Linked DNA regions of Anolis sagrei. The protein of the gene in region 1 interacts with the protein of each later gene in a biochemical or structural test. Links are inferred from orthologs where the notes say so. Each region holds a gene or a part of one and is shown in the gene's direction. Other genes may lie near its edges.

What was found.
Region 2: the proteins of GTF2E1 (region 1) and ERCC3 form a complex in vitro, tested with the Homo sapiens proteins (2 studies listed by BioGRID). The link is inferred for Anolis sagrei from reciprocal best matches to the Homo sapiens genes GTF2E1 and ERCC3.

What each region holds. Positions count from the first base shown.
Region 1 is NC_090022.1:165,541,963-165,548,851, forward strand, and holds the start of GTF2E1 (general transcription factor IIE subunit 1), read left to right. Parts: upstream 1-3,866; 5' UTR 3,867-3,977; intron 3,978-6,889. Other genes in the region: RABL3 (rab-like protein 3), read right to left, coding at 3,717-3,762.
Region 2 is NC_090021.1:226,492,313-226,499,454, reverse strand, and holds the start of ERCC3 (general transcription and DNA repair factor IIH helicase/translocase subunit XPB), read left to right. Parts: upstream 1-4,133; 5' UTR 4,134-4,209; coding exon 4,210-4,231; intron 4,232-5,666; coding exon 5,667-5,872; intron 5,873-6,903; coding exon 6,904-7,140; intron 7,141-7,142. UniProt on the Homo sapiens protein: ATP-dependent 3'-5' DNA helicase/translocase. Binds dsDNA rather than ssDNA, unzipping it in a translocase rather than classical helicase activity. Component of the general transcription and DNA repair factor IIH (TFIIH) core complex.

The sequences.
Region 1 (6,889 bases):
TGCAGCAGATTTTGCTATAGTCTTTCCATGAATATCTCAGAGTCTCAACTAATTCAACATAGTTTGCAGCAGCCACATAAAGTTTCTGGAGTATAACAACTAGTTTCAAAGTAAGCACCACACAATGAAACAGGAAATAACACTTTCAAACAAGGAACAGATTTTTTTTTCAAATTTTGTTATATTGATAGTATTATCAATCAAAGGCAATATGTGGGATACTGTATATGTGCTGTTTTATACCTGCACACTGATTCCCACAAAAATCGGTTTTGTAATAAGGATAGTATTTCTTGAAGGTTTACTTTTTATTTGAGAAAGAAGAGTTGTTGTTTTGAAAAGTGACCCTGATGAGAAAAAATCCCACTAGGGTAGATTTTGTAAAGGTTTATAGAAATCTGGGTAAGTTTTTATGAGGCTCAGTACTAAGTTTACCGTAGATGTATGTGTGTGAAGAAAGGAAGAATCCATATGTAGGTGCACTGCATGTGTCATTAAAAGCAAATGTTTCTTTGCTACAATCAGTAGAGTGTAACAGGGAAGTTTACAGTATACCCTTTGGAGTTCTTTGCAAAACCTTGCTGTAGAAGCCAAGATCTCAGCATTTTGTATATTGCAATACAATATTGCATATTGTATGTATCATGCACTTTGAAAAACCATTTGTTTTGCATATCATAGAATCATAGAGTTGGAAGAGACCACATGCAGGGGCGGCTCAACCCATTATGCAAAGTAAGCATTCGTAGTATAGTTGATTTTGCCCAAGGGCGCTCTTGAGGGGCTCTTGGGGGAAAATAGACCTTGACATATGCGAGGTGTTGTTACTGGGATGTATAGTTCACCTACAATCAAAGAGCATTCTGAACTCCACCAATGATGGAATTGAACCAAATATTGCACACAGAACTCCCACGAACAAAAAATATATATCAGTGATTGGTTGAGGGGGGGGGGGCAAAATACTGTTTGCTTATCATTGAAAATTACCTAGGGCCATCTCTGACCTCATGGGCCATCCAGTCCAACCCCCTGCCAAGAAGCAGGAGTTTGAAATAAATAAACAAAGGAAAGAAAGGAAGGGGCCTGAGGCTGTAAGGAATGGTGGAAGATGAAATCCAAAACACCCAGAGAGCCCAAGTTTGCTCATGTCTGCTTTATTGGCACACAACAACAAAATCAGCCTCCTAATGTTGTATGCACAGCATCCTAATGTTGTATTTCCTCATGTTGTATGCCCAACCTGAGAAAATCACAGATAAAAGAAACATCCTGAAAAGTGACTCATCTCAAGGATAACATTTGCAGTAGTCTCACAAAAGAGTGCATCAGAGTTGTTCAGAAGATAGAGAATTCAGTAATGCAAATCAAAATACAGCTTAATCCATCTTAGCTTAATCCGTTCTGCTGGACCTCTCAGCGGCCTTCGATACCGTCGACCACGGTATCCTTCTGAGTCACCTCGCGGGAATGGGCCTTGGTGGCACTGCTCTGCAGTGGCTCAGGTTCTTCCTAGAGGATCGTACTCAGAAGGTGTTGCTGGGGGACAACTGCTCTACCCCACAACCATTGACTTGTGGGGTTCCGCAGGGCTCTATATTGTCCCCCATGTTATTTAACATCTACATGAAGCCGTTGGGAGAGATCATCCGGAGTTTCGGAGTGCGGTGTTATCTGTACGCAGATGACGTCCAACTCTGTCACTCCTTCCCACCTACTACTAAGGAGGCTGTTCAGGTCCTGAACCGTTGCTTGGCCGCTGTATCGGACTGGATGAGGGCGAACAAATTGAAATTGAATCCAGATAAGACAGAGGCACTCCTGGTCAGTCGGAGGGCCGAACAGGGTATAGGGTTACAGCCTGTGTTGGACGGGGTTACACTCCCCCTGAAGATGCAGGTTCGCAGCTTGGGTGTGATCCTGGACTCCTCGCTAAGCTTGGAACCCCAGGTCTCGGCGGTGTCCAGGGGAGCATTTGCACAACTCAAACTTGTGCGCCAGCTGCGCCTGTACCTTGGGAAGTCGGACTTGGCCACGGTGGTCCACGCTCTGGTCACATCCCGGATTGATTACTGCAACGCGCTCTACGTGGGGTTGCCCTTGAAGACGGCCCGGAAGCTTCAGATGGTCCAGCGCTCGGCAGCCAGGTTGCTAACAGGAGCGGCACTCAGGGAGCACACCACTCCTCTGCTGAGCCAGCTCCACTGGCTGCCAATCCGCTACCGGGCTCAATTCAAGGTGCTGGCCTTGGCCTATAAAGCCCTAAACGGTTCTGGCCCCGCTTACCTCTCCGAACGCATTTCCGCCTACGAACCGACTAGAATATTAAGATCGTCTGGGGAGGCCCTGCTCTCGATCCCGCCTGCGTCACAGGTGCGCTTGGCGGGGACGAGAGACAGGGCCTTCTCAGTGGTGGCCCCTCGGCTATGGAATGCCTTACCAGCAGACATCAGACAGGCACCTTCGTTGCTGGCGTTTCGGAGAATGGTCAAGACCTGGCTTTACGAACAAGCGTTTGGCTAGGCAATGCAACTAACTAAGGAAGACGGTAACTGAACATAGGAACGGCACAATGACTATGAGAATGGATCTGACTTTAACGAAGGCGCTATATATGTTGTTTGTTGATTTGTCTGTCTGATGTTAATTGTGGAGCGACGTTGTCATCCCGGTTGTTTTATTGCTGTGTTTTTAATTGCACTGTAAACCGCATAGAGTCGCCTGTCAAGGGCTGAAATATGCGGTATAAAAGTGAAGCAAATAAATAAATAAATAAATAGTAAACTTTTCCTCCATTTTAGCAGGAAGAAATGAAATGCAAAGATACAGAATGGGGGACAATGCCTGGCTTGAGAGCAGTACGTGTGAAAAAGATCTTGGAGTCCTCGTGGACAACAAGTTAAACATGAGCCAACAATGTGATGTGGCGGCAAAAAAAGCCAATGGGATTTTGGTCTGCATCAATAGGAACATAGTGTCTAGATCTAGGGAAGTAATGCTACCCCTCTATTCTGCTTTGGTTAGACCACATCTGGAATATTGTGTCCAATTCTGGGCACCACAATTCAAGAGAGATATTGACAAGCTGGAATGTGTCCAGAGGAGGGCGACTAAAACGATCAAGGGTCTGGAGAACAAGCCCTATGAGGTGCGGCTTAAGGAGCTGGACATGTTTAGCTTGAAGAAGAGAAGGCTGAGAGGAGATATGATAGCCATGTATAAATATGTGAGAGGAAGCCACAGGGAGGAGGGAGCAAGCTTGTTTTCTGCTTCCCTGGAGACTAGGACACGAAACAATGGCTTCAAACTACAATAGAGGAGATTCCATCTGAACATGAGGAAGAACTTCCTGACTGTGAGAGCCGTTTAGCAGTGGAACTCTCTGCCCCGGAGTGTGGTGGAGGCTCCTTCTTTGGAAGCTTTTAAACAGATGCTGGATGTCCATCTGTCAGGGGTGATTTGAATGCAACATTCCTGCTTCTTGGCAGGGGGTTGGACTGGATGGCCCCTGAGGTCTTTTCCAACTCTAGGATTCTATGAAGTCCAAAACACCCGGAGAGCCCAAGTTTGCCCATGCCTGTAATACTAGTACCATTTAAAAACCAAGTGATTAAAACCCTTACAAGCATTATGGAACACAGTTTGCAACATAGGAAACGCTTGCGGCCTGGAAGCGTCATGGCGAGTGTGATTCCTTCCCTTTCCCTTCCACTCACCGGAGTCGCCCAGCACCAGCACTTTCACCCGCTCCAGGGCCGCCATCCCTCCTCGCCGACCAAGAGCCACTTCCTATTCCGCCCACTGGCCAGTCGCTTCCTTCCTATTGGCCGAGGAAGGAGCGGGGAGGCGCGAGGAACGCCAGGCGTCGCTTAGTAGTGACGTCAAGCGGAATCGTGTTTGGAGGCAGAGTCGTGACGCACGCCCGCGCGCGCTGAGGGTCTCGCGGCGAAGGAGCTTGGCTTTTGGGTCCCTCACAGGTCAGTCCGAGGGCTGTACCGGCTCCAACCCTTGCCTGCCCCGAGGGCCTCTTTCTTGAGGGAGTAGCTTGGTGGGCTTGTGTTGCTATTCTGTGCTCTTCAAGGGAAAACACTCGGATGGCGGCGGGCCAGAATACATCTGCCTCAGGAAGAAAAGCAGCAGGGAGAGTGTGGTCACCTGTGGCAAGAAGCTTGCACGCGTGTTGGGTATAACTATGCCATTATCCGGACGGAGGCTAAAAGGGGAGCTGGACAGAGAAGGGGAGGGGGTGTTATTTAGAACTTTTATATACCGGTCTTCTCACCTCCAACGAGGGACTCAGGCCTGTTTACAACAAGGGAGTTCATGCACAATAGTTTAAAAACATCACATCAATAATACACTAATATAAACACATTAAAGCACTATCATCATATATAAAGCAAGTCGTTAGTATAAAAATCACTATGCGTCCCCATCTGTCCGTGTGGTCAAAAGTCATTGCCTCATTCATCAAATGCCAGATTCCAAAGCCAGGTTTTCACCAACTTTCTAAAGGTCAGGAGGGAAGGGGCAGTTCTAATTTCCAATGGGAAAGAGTTCCAGGGCCAAGGGGCCACCACCAAAAAGGCGTCCCCACCAAACGCGATTGCGAGGATGGTGGGACCGAGAGCAGGGCCCCTCCAGAAGATCTTAACAACCTTGAAGGTTCATAGCTTCCGAGCACAATTCAAAGTGCTGGTTTTGACCTACAAAATCCTTTACGGCTCCGGCCCAGCATACTTGTCCGAACGTATCTCCTTCCACATCCCACCTCGGAAGTTTAAGATCTTCTGGGGAGGCCCTGTTCTCGGCCCCACCTTTATCACAAGTGAGACTGGTGGGGACGAGGGACAGGGCTTTCTCGGTGATGGTCCCTCACCTGTGGAATGCACTCCCCGGGGAAATTAGGTCATCAACATCCCTCCTCTCCTTCAGGAGGAAGTTAAAAACCTGGATTTGGGACCAGGCCTTTGGGTAAGCTGGCAGATGGATAAAAGACAATGATGACCAGAGTAGAAAAGGACAATGACAATGCTGGATGGATTATGAATGTATGAATTGGCGAACGTTGACCACAAGATGATTTTATTGCTGCTATTGTATTAATTTGATTGTTTTAACTAGTTATAACGTCGTTATATTGTATTTTGTATATTGTACTTTGTGAATTGTTGAGCATCGAATTGTACCTATTTTTGTAAGCCGCCCTGAGTTGAGAAGGGCAGGGTAGAAGCACTCCAAATAAATAAATATGGGAGAATCCGTTCCGATAGGGAAACTGGGCCGGAGTTGTTTAGGCATTTGTAGGTCAACACCAGCACTTTGAATTGTGCTCGGAAGCTAATTGGCAGCCAGTGGAGCTGGCGCAACAGAGGAGTAATATGCTTCCTGTACCCCGCTCCTGTTAGTAATCTGGCTGCCGCTCGTTGGACTGATTGCAGCTTCCGAGCAGTCTTCAGAGGCAACCCCATGTAGAGAGCATTGCAGTAGTCTATACGGGATCTAACCAGAGCGTGGACCACCGTGGCAAAGTCAGACTTCCCAAGGTACGGGCGCAGCTGGCGCACAAGTTTTAATTATGCAAAAGCTCCCCTGGGGTTCCAGGCTCAGCGATGAGTCCAGGATCACTCCTGAGCTGCGAACCTGCGTCTTCAGGGGAAGTGTAACCCCGTCGATCACAGGCTGTAACCCTATGCCCTGTTCGGCCTTTCGACTGACCAGGAGTACCTCCGTCTTGTCTGGATTTAATTTCAATCTGTTCGCCCTCATCCTGTCCGCTACAGCGGCCAAGCACCGGTTCAGGACTTGAACAGCCTCCTTAGTAGCAGGTGGGAAGGAGTAACAGAGTTGGACATCATCTGCGTACAGAAGACACCGAACCCCAAAACTCCGGATGATCTCTCCCAACGGCTTCATGTATATGTTAAATAACATAGGGGACACTACTGAACCCTTCAGGACTCCACATTACAATGGCCGTGGGGTCGAGCAGGAGTCCCCTAGTAACACCTTCTGGGAACAACCCTCGAGGAAGGACTGGAGCCACTGCAAAGCAGTACCCCCAAGGCCCATTCCCGCGGGCGTCCCAGAAGGATACCGTGGTTGACAGTATCGAAGGCCGATGAGAGGTCCAGCAGAACCAACAGGGACACACTCCCCCTGTCTAGTTCCCGGCAAAGATCATCCACTAAGGCGACCAAGGCTGTCTCAGTACCATGTCCCGGCCTAAAGCCAGACTGCTCTGGTAGGCTGTTAGGAATTGTGGGAGTTGAAGTCCAAAACACCTGGAGGGTCCAAGTTTGCTCATGCCTGAGTTAAACCATTTCCCCTCTGTGTTCCTGTTATTCCTCTCACCCATGCCCCTTCTACATTACCATATAAAATCCAGATTATCTGCTTTGAAGTGAATATTCCTGCTTCTTGGCAGGGGGTTGGACTGGGTGGCCCATAAGGTCTCTTCCAACTCTAGGATTCTATGATTATAAGGGCTCTTCCACACTGCCCCTTTATCCCAGAATCTGATCCCAGTTTATCTGGCATTGGGGACACATACATTCCAGTTTAAAGCAGATAATCTGGGATCAGATCCTGGGATGAAGGGCAGTGTGGAAGGGCCCTAAAATGTTCAAAGGTCTGGAGACCATGCCCTATGAAGAGCATCGTAAAGAGCTGGGGATGTTTAGCCTGCAGAAGAGAAGGTTGAGAGGAGACATCATAGCCATGGATAAATATGTGAAAGGATATCATAAGGAATAGGGAGCAGACATGCCCTGGAGTTGGGCACTCACTGGAACAATGGGTTCAAATTCCAGGAAAGGAGGTTCCATGTGAATATTAGGAAGAATTTCCTGAATGTAAGTGCTATTTAGCAGTGGAACTCTGCCTCTTT
Region 2 (7,142 bases), on another chromosome or scaffold:
TTTTGAAAGCTGAAAATCATGCCTATTTTGAAGAATATTCTTTATTTGAGGATTGGAAAGCATGCCATTATATAGATGCCAAAAATCCAGTGTGTGGGTATTTTAAGAAAAAACCAAGACAAATTGCAAGAAAAAGCTAGTACAGACAGTCCCCAAATTACAAACAAGATTGGTTCTGTAGGTTTATTCTTAAATCTAATTTGTAAAGTGTAATTCCATCCAAAAATGTATATTCTTTGGCTTTGGATAACTTTGGGAAGGGTTAACGTAATGTTTGTTTTGCCGTCTGTGATCCTATTCAGAAGATTTCTCCTCACTTTCCGTTCCTGTGATAATTAGATTTTGCAAAATTTGGCTTGTTGTGGAAACAAGGATTGGTGATAAAGCTTCAGCTGAGACACCTTTCCCCATGAGAGCTCTTTCAGGAGTGAAATTCCCTTTCTGGGAGTATTTTTCTTTCACTTTCTGTTGTCCCCTGCCTCTGTTCTTAACTATGAGTCTTTTGTAAATCAAATGTAACTCGGGGACTGTCTGTATATCTGAAATTCATTACCATTACAGGTAGTTATAATGTGATTAAAACAGATTCAGAACTTGTTGCATGCCAAAAAATTAACCAAATTGGATTATTTCTTTAAAAAGAAAATGTGAGCTCTGTGTATCATTAATTTTGATAGCCAGTTACTGGTATTTTGAAAAACTTGCACCTTCTTGTCTTTGAATTGTTCCAGGCTACCTCTGTATCAATGCATAAAAAATAGGACAAGATAAAACATCTCTGAGAATTACTTATGGTACTTAAGGATGAGTTTTCTATATTATCATAATTATCTTATTTATTTATTTATTTATTTATTTATTTGAAACTTTTGTATCCTGATCTTCTCTACCTCCATAGAGGGACTCAGACCGGCTAACAGCAAGAATTCAATGCCAACAATAATACCTTTTAAAACATGATACAATAGGTTAAATTACATATAAGATAAAATACATATAAACCAATTTGCCAAGGTAAAAACAACGTCCAACTCAGTCCGCACATTGTGGTCAATAACTTTAGTCAATTTCTGGTCTCAACCACTCTGGAAATGCCTCGCTCCAAAACCAGGATTTTACTTGCTTCCTAAAGGATGGGAGGGAGGGGGCAGATCTAATTTCATTCTATAGCCGGAGGCCACCACAGAAAAGGCCCTGTCTCGTCCCCACCAGATGTGACTGCAAAAGTGGCGGGACCGAGAGCAGGGCCTCTCCGAAAGATCTTAATGCCCTTGATTCATATGGGAGAATATGTTCAGACAGGTAAACTGGGCCGGAACCGTAAAGGGTTTTGTAGGTTAAAACCAGCACTTTGAATTGTGCTCGGAAGCTAATTGACAGCCAGTGGAACTGCCACAACAAGGGAGTTGTGCACTCCCTGTAACCCCGCTCCCATTAGTAGCCTGGCTGCCGACGATTGTACTTATTGCAGCTTCCGGGCAGTCTTCTGAGGCAACCCCACATAGAGAGTGTTGCAGTAGTCTATACGGGATGTAACCAGAACGTGGACTACCATGGCCAAGTCAGACTTCCCAAGGTACGGGTGCAGCTGGCGCACAAGCTTTAACTGTGCAAGAGCTCTCCTGGTCACCGCCGAAATCTGGGGTTCCAGGTTTAGCGATGAGTCCAGGATCACTCCCAAGCTGCGAACCTCGCCTTCAAGGGCAGTGTAATCCCATCAAGCACAAGCTGTAACCCTATGCCCTGTTCGGCCTTGTGACTGACCAGGAGGACCTGTCTTGTCTGAATTTAGTTTCAATTTGTTCACTCTCATCCAGTCCATTACAGTGGCCAAGCACTGGTTCAGGACTTGCACAGCCTTTTTAGTAGCAGGTGGGAAGGAGTGACAGAGTTGGACATAATCTGTGTACAGGTGACACCGCACCCCAAAACTCCGGATGATCTCCCCTAACGGCTTCATGTATATGTTGAATAACATAGGGGACATAGGGGACAATAATGAGTCCTGCAGGACCCCACAGGACAATGGCAGCAAAGCCCAGCAGGAGTACCCCAACAACACCTTCTGGGAACGACCCTTGAGGAAGGACTGAAGCCACTGCAAAGCAGTTCCTTCAAGGCCCATTCCTGCGAGGCGCCTCAGAAGGATATTTATACATTGTCTTTTCCCAAAACTGGGACTTAAGGGGCCTTACATTCAGGGTGCCCCCAAAATGTACAGATATTGAACAATTTATAATTGTAGGGGGTGGGGAAGAATTGCAATGATTTTGCAAAATATCAGAGAAGTGTCACGAAATGAGCGATTTTCAGTTTGCAACTTTGCTTTAACAATACAAAATGCATTGCTGCGCAGGGAGGACAGTTTGTACACCTTGCATAAAGTGACCATTTAAAAGGAAATTTCTAATTCCAATTAAAGTTAAAAGGGATGTAATGGTGAGAATGTTGAATTGAGGCCCCTCCTACACTGCCATACAAAGTCCAGATTATCTGCTTTACACAGGATTATATGGCAATGTAAAGGTTTTCCCCTGACATTAAGTCCAGTGGAGTCCAACTCTGGGGTGGTGCTCATCTCCATTTCTAAGCTGAAGCGCTGGTGTTATCCGTAGATGCCTCCAAGATCATGTGGCCAGCATGACTGCATGGAGCACCGCTACCTTCCCGCCAAAGCGGTACCTATTGATCTACTGACATTTGTATGTTTTCGAACTACTAGTTTGGCAGAAGCTGGGGCTAACAGGAGCTCACTCCGCTCCCTGGATTTGAACTGCCAACTTTTTGCTCAGTGTATGGCACTGTAGACTCATATACATAATCCTGTTCAAAGCAGATAATATGGATTATCTGATTTGATAATCTGGATTATATGGCAGTGTAGAAGAGGCCTTAGAATCTCGAAACCAGCGTTTGAATCCCCACTCAACCATGGAAACACACAAAGTGATAATCTGGATTATATGGCAGTGCAGAAGAGGCCTTGGACTCTGGAGATCAGTGTTTGAATCCCCACTCAACTATGGAAACACAGAAAGTGAGCTCAAACAAGTCACACTCCCTCAGCCTCTGAGGAAGACAACTCCCTCTGGACAAACCTCGCCAAGGAAATCCCATGATAGGGTCTCCATAAATTGCAAATGATGGCATACAACGAGTTAAATGGCAATATTAAAATCCAGTGCAACTATTTGCAATACTACAACTATTTAGAACACACAACATTAAAAACACACTAACAATCATGCTTCAAATGCCACTTGGTTATTAGCACTATGGCCTTCAAAACCAAAAGCAGGGATCAAAATTAAAAGGGAAGGCTCTGCTGCAACTGTCTTAAGACACGCAACGCTGAAAACACAGGAAAAGGACTGTGGTGCAACTGGCTGGGAGTCAGCTGCATTAAGATCACTACTGACCGAAAGGTCATGAATTCAAAGCCAGCCTGGATTGGAGTGAGCTTCCGACCATTGTGTAGCTTGCTGTCAACCTTTGCAGCCTGAAAGACAGTTGCATCTGTCAAGTAGGAAATGTATGTATCGCTTATGCGAGGAGGCTAATTTAACTAATTTATGACGCCATAAAATCTCCAGCAAGCAAGCATAGAATGAGAAAGTACTCCATCAGTGTCACAAATGGACGTTGAAGCGACAGCTCCCCTGGTGGCCAGAATACCCTCATGAAAAAGCTGGAAAGTTAAATAGCCTCTGTGTGTCTGTCTATATATGTTGTGTGTCTATGGCATTGAATGTTTGCCATGTATACTATGTACATTGAAATCCGCCCTGAGTCCCCTGCGGGGTGAGAATGGCGGAAAAGAAATACTGTAAACAAATAAACAAGTAAGACTGAAATGCAAGGCAAGCAAAGATCAACACTAAAGTGCAATGCAATGCCGCCACTATCGAAATTAAACCACGACGCAGTATAGTATTGCAACTATTGAACACACACTTTGAAGTACGCCGACGAGCACACTGAGAAGATGATTCATTGAGGAATACTGTGATCCTTTTTTTAACCTCTGCAAAACAAACCCCCTCTCTGGGCGGGCGCGCGCGCCTCTTTCACGCGCAAGAGCCATCGCTTCCTCCCCTTCCGTGTTTCCCTCCCGAGGGTGGGCGGGGCTTCAGGGGCGGGAGAGACCGGATTGGCTCCGCTCTCTGTCCCGGAAGCGGCCCGAGAGAGAGGCTGGCACGGCCTGGCAAGATGGGCAAGAAGGAGCGCGGCGGTGAGTGACTAGAGAGAGGCTTCGTTCTCTTTGGAACCATCGCAGGCCTGGGCAAACCTTGGCCCTCCAGGTGCTTTGGACTTCAACTCCCAGCATTCCTCACAGCCTCAGGCCCCTTCCTTAAGCGGCTGAGGGGGAAAAGGAAGGGGCCTGAGGCTGTGAGGAATGCTGGGAGTTGGAGTCCAAAACACCTGGAGGGCCAAGGTTTGCCCAGGCCTGTCCATAGCAGGACATCATGTCAGAGAGAGAGAGAGCTGAATATACACCAGTATGTTCAGAGTCTTTGCTCAAACTCCCTTCTGCCTGTAAGACAGAAAGGACTACCAGATTCAGAGGAACTACTGTCCCTAAACACTAGTCTTGTTTAAGTTGATTCCTGAACACTATGAGGGAGGGGGCCAATCTAATCTCACTGGGAAGGAAGTTGCACAGCCAAGGGGCCACAACTGAGAAGGCGGTGGGACAGAGAGCAGGACCTCCCCAGCAGATTCTTAATGTTCTAGCTACCTCATAAAGGGAGATGTGTTTGGATAGGTAAGCTGGACCTATCCAAACAAAAGTATCTCTTTTGTGCATAGCAGTGCTTCTTGGTGGGCTGAGGACCACCAAGACAAAAATCTGGTCCACGGGCCTCCTTCCTCTTTATTTTTTTAATTTCCACTCCTTTCACACCGCCTGCCACTCTTTCCCTGTCACTGACGATTGCATATGTTCTGTATCAGAAACTAGAGCTGATGAGGTTTTCTGAATCAGCACCCCAAACTAAATCTAAAGTTGACCAAAAACTGATTTGTAACCCTTTTGGTACTAATGTTGGATAGTGGTCAAGTGATCCCTGGTCAAAAAAGGTTGGGAACCACTGGTGTATAGAATATGTGGGTTGGGTAAAGGTGAAGAATACACACTTTTCTCCTGGATTCAGTCCTCAGCATCCTCATAGATATAGATATAGATATATATGCCACTTTTCTCATCCCTGGGGGAACTCAAAGCAGTTCACAACATAATCCATGACAAAATTCATGCCTCATACAAATAAACATCACACCTCAAATTGACAACAAATGACAATAGATTAAAACCATTAAAATTTATATATATATATATATATATATATATATACACACACCCTATTCCAGATTCTTGGGCAGATGCTATAAAAGGATCTTCAGAGTTAAACTAATAGGAATATGGAAGAATTACCATAGTCCCCATATTTGCCTTGGGCAGTTAAAAGGAGCCATTGTCCCTTAACCATAGAAACATGTTTTGTTGTCTAAACCAGGCATGGGAAATACCTTCAGATCATACTAAACTGCAAATCCCTTTAGCCCTTGTCACTTTATGCAATCTAAAGTTGTCTGCAGTTTTAAATTTCTACTATAAACGGTTTTTATGTGTGTATGTATGGAAACGTATCTGCATTGGTTTTCAGATAAGAAAAAGTCTAAGAAGCGGCACTATGAGGAGGAGAATGAGGACGAATACGACATCCCAGGCAGAGACTCACAAGAAGCAGTTCCTTCGGCAGCAGGAAAGCAAGTGGAAGTTTCTCAGAAAAAAGTAGATGAATATGGGGCGAAGGACTACAGGAGCCAGATGCATCTCAAGGATGATCATTCCTCCCGCCCGCTGTGGGTGGTAAGCGCCATCAAACACAGAGATTTCCTTAGAGCTTTGTTCACATTCTTTAAAGGAAACCTCTAGAGGTGTTTGCCTGTGCTGAAAGAACTGACATTGAAACTTACTTTGGCATGCTTTGAGAATGGCTGAGGAAGATTAGACCTTGGTAATGCTTTGGAGTACAGTTTTTACAATTCCTACTCATTGACCAAAGGTGCATCTGCACAGTTACTGGCAATTTGGCAGTACTTTAACTTCTATGGCTCAATGCTGTGGAATTCTGGGAGCAGTACTTTAACAAAGACTTTCATTTTCTCTGCCAAAGAGTTCTGGTGCCTCATCAAACTTCAATTTCCATGATTCCATATCATTGCGTTATGGCTGTTAACGTGTGCTAATTTCCCCAGATCATACTTGGAATCAGAACGCATTCTGGGAGCTAGCGTCCAAAAATCTAACCTACATTTCCAAGCTTTCATTTTCCAGTTCATAGTGGAAGAGAATTTTGATCCTAGCATTTTCAACAAACTTTAGTCAAGTGATTCTGAAATATGTATCTAGTTACACTTCTGGGAGTTCTCTTCACTCTTTGAATAACAAGTTTTTTCACTTTTTCTCTTTTCTCTTCCCAAATGCTAGATCATGAACTGATTCTGGCTGTCAGGAAATTTCAAAAATGATTTGTCTTTTGGACAAAAGCCAAAAATTCTGCCACTGGTTGGGAAGCACAAATGCAAATATTATTGCAAAACTGATGGATAGTTCCATTGCACAGCAGTTGAGTAAAACACCTCTGGGGTGTGCCAAAATACCAAGTTAGTCCTTGGAAGGGACACGTACCCTCGGTCCTATAGGAAGTCAATGGCATACTAACTCTGAGTATTCCTAACTTAAGACAACTTTATGACATTAATGGAGTTGTTGTAAGTCACCAGGCAATTTGAAGGAACATGCCTACCTATGCTTCTTTCTATATTTAAAGGCAGCAGTACAAAGCATTTAAGTTGCTTGCAGAGTAATAATATTGCAATTCTTCTGTCCTTTCATAGGCTCCTGATGGCCATATTTTCCTTGAAGCCTTTTCGCCTGTTTACAAATATGCCCAGGATTTTCTGGTTGCCATTGCTGAGCCAGTTTGCCGACCCTCCCATATACATGAATATAAATTGACTGCTTACTCTCTCTATGCTGCTGTCAGCGTGGGTTTGCAAACAGATGATATCACAGAGTATTTGCGGAAGCTGAGTAAAACTGGTGTGCCCGATGGGATCATTCAGTTTATCAAGGT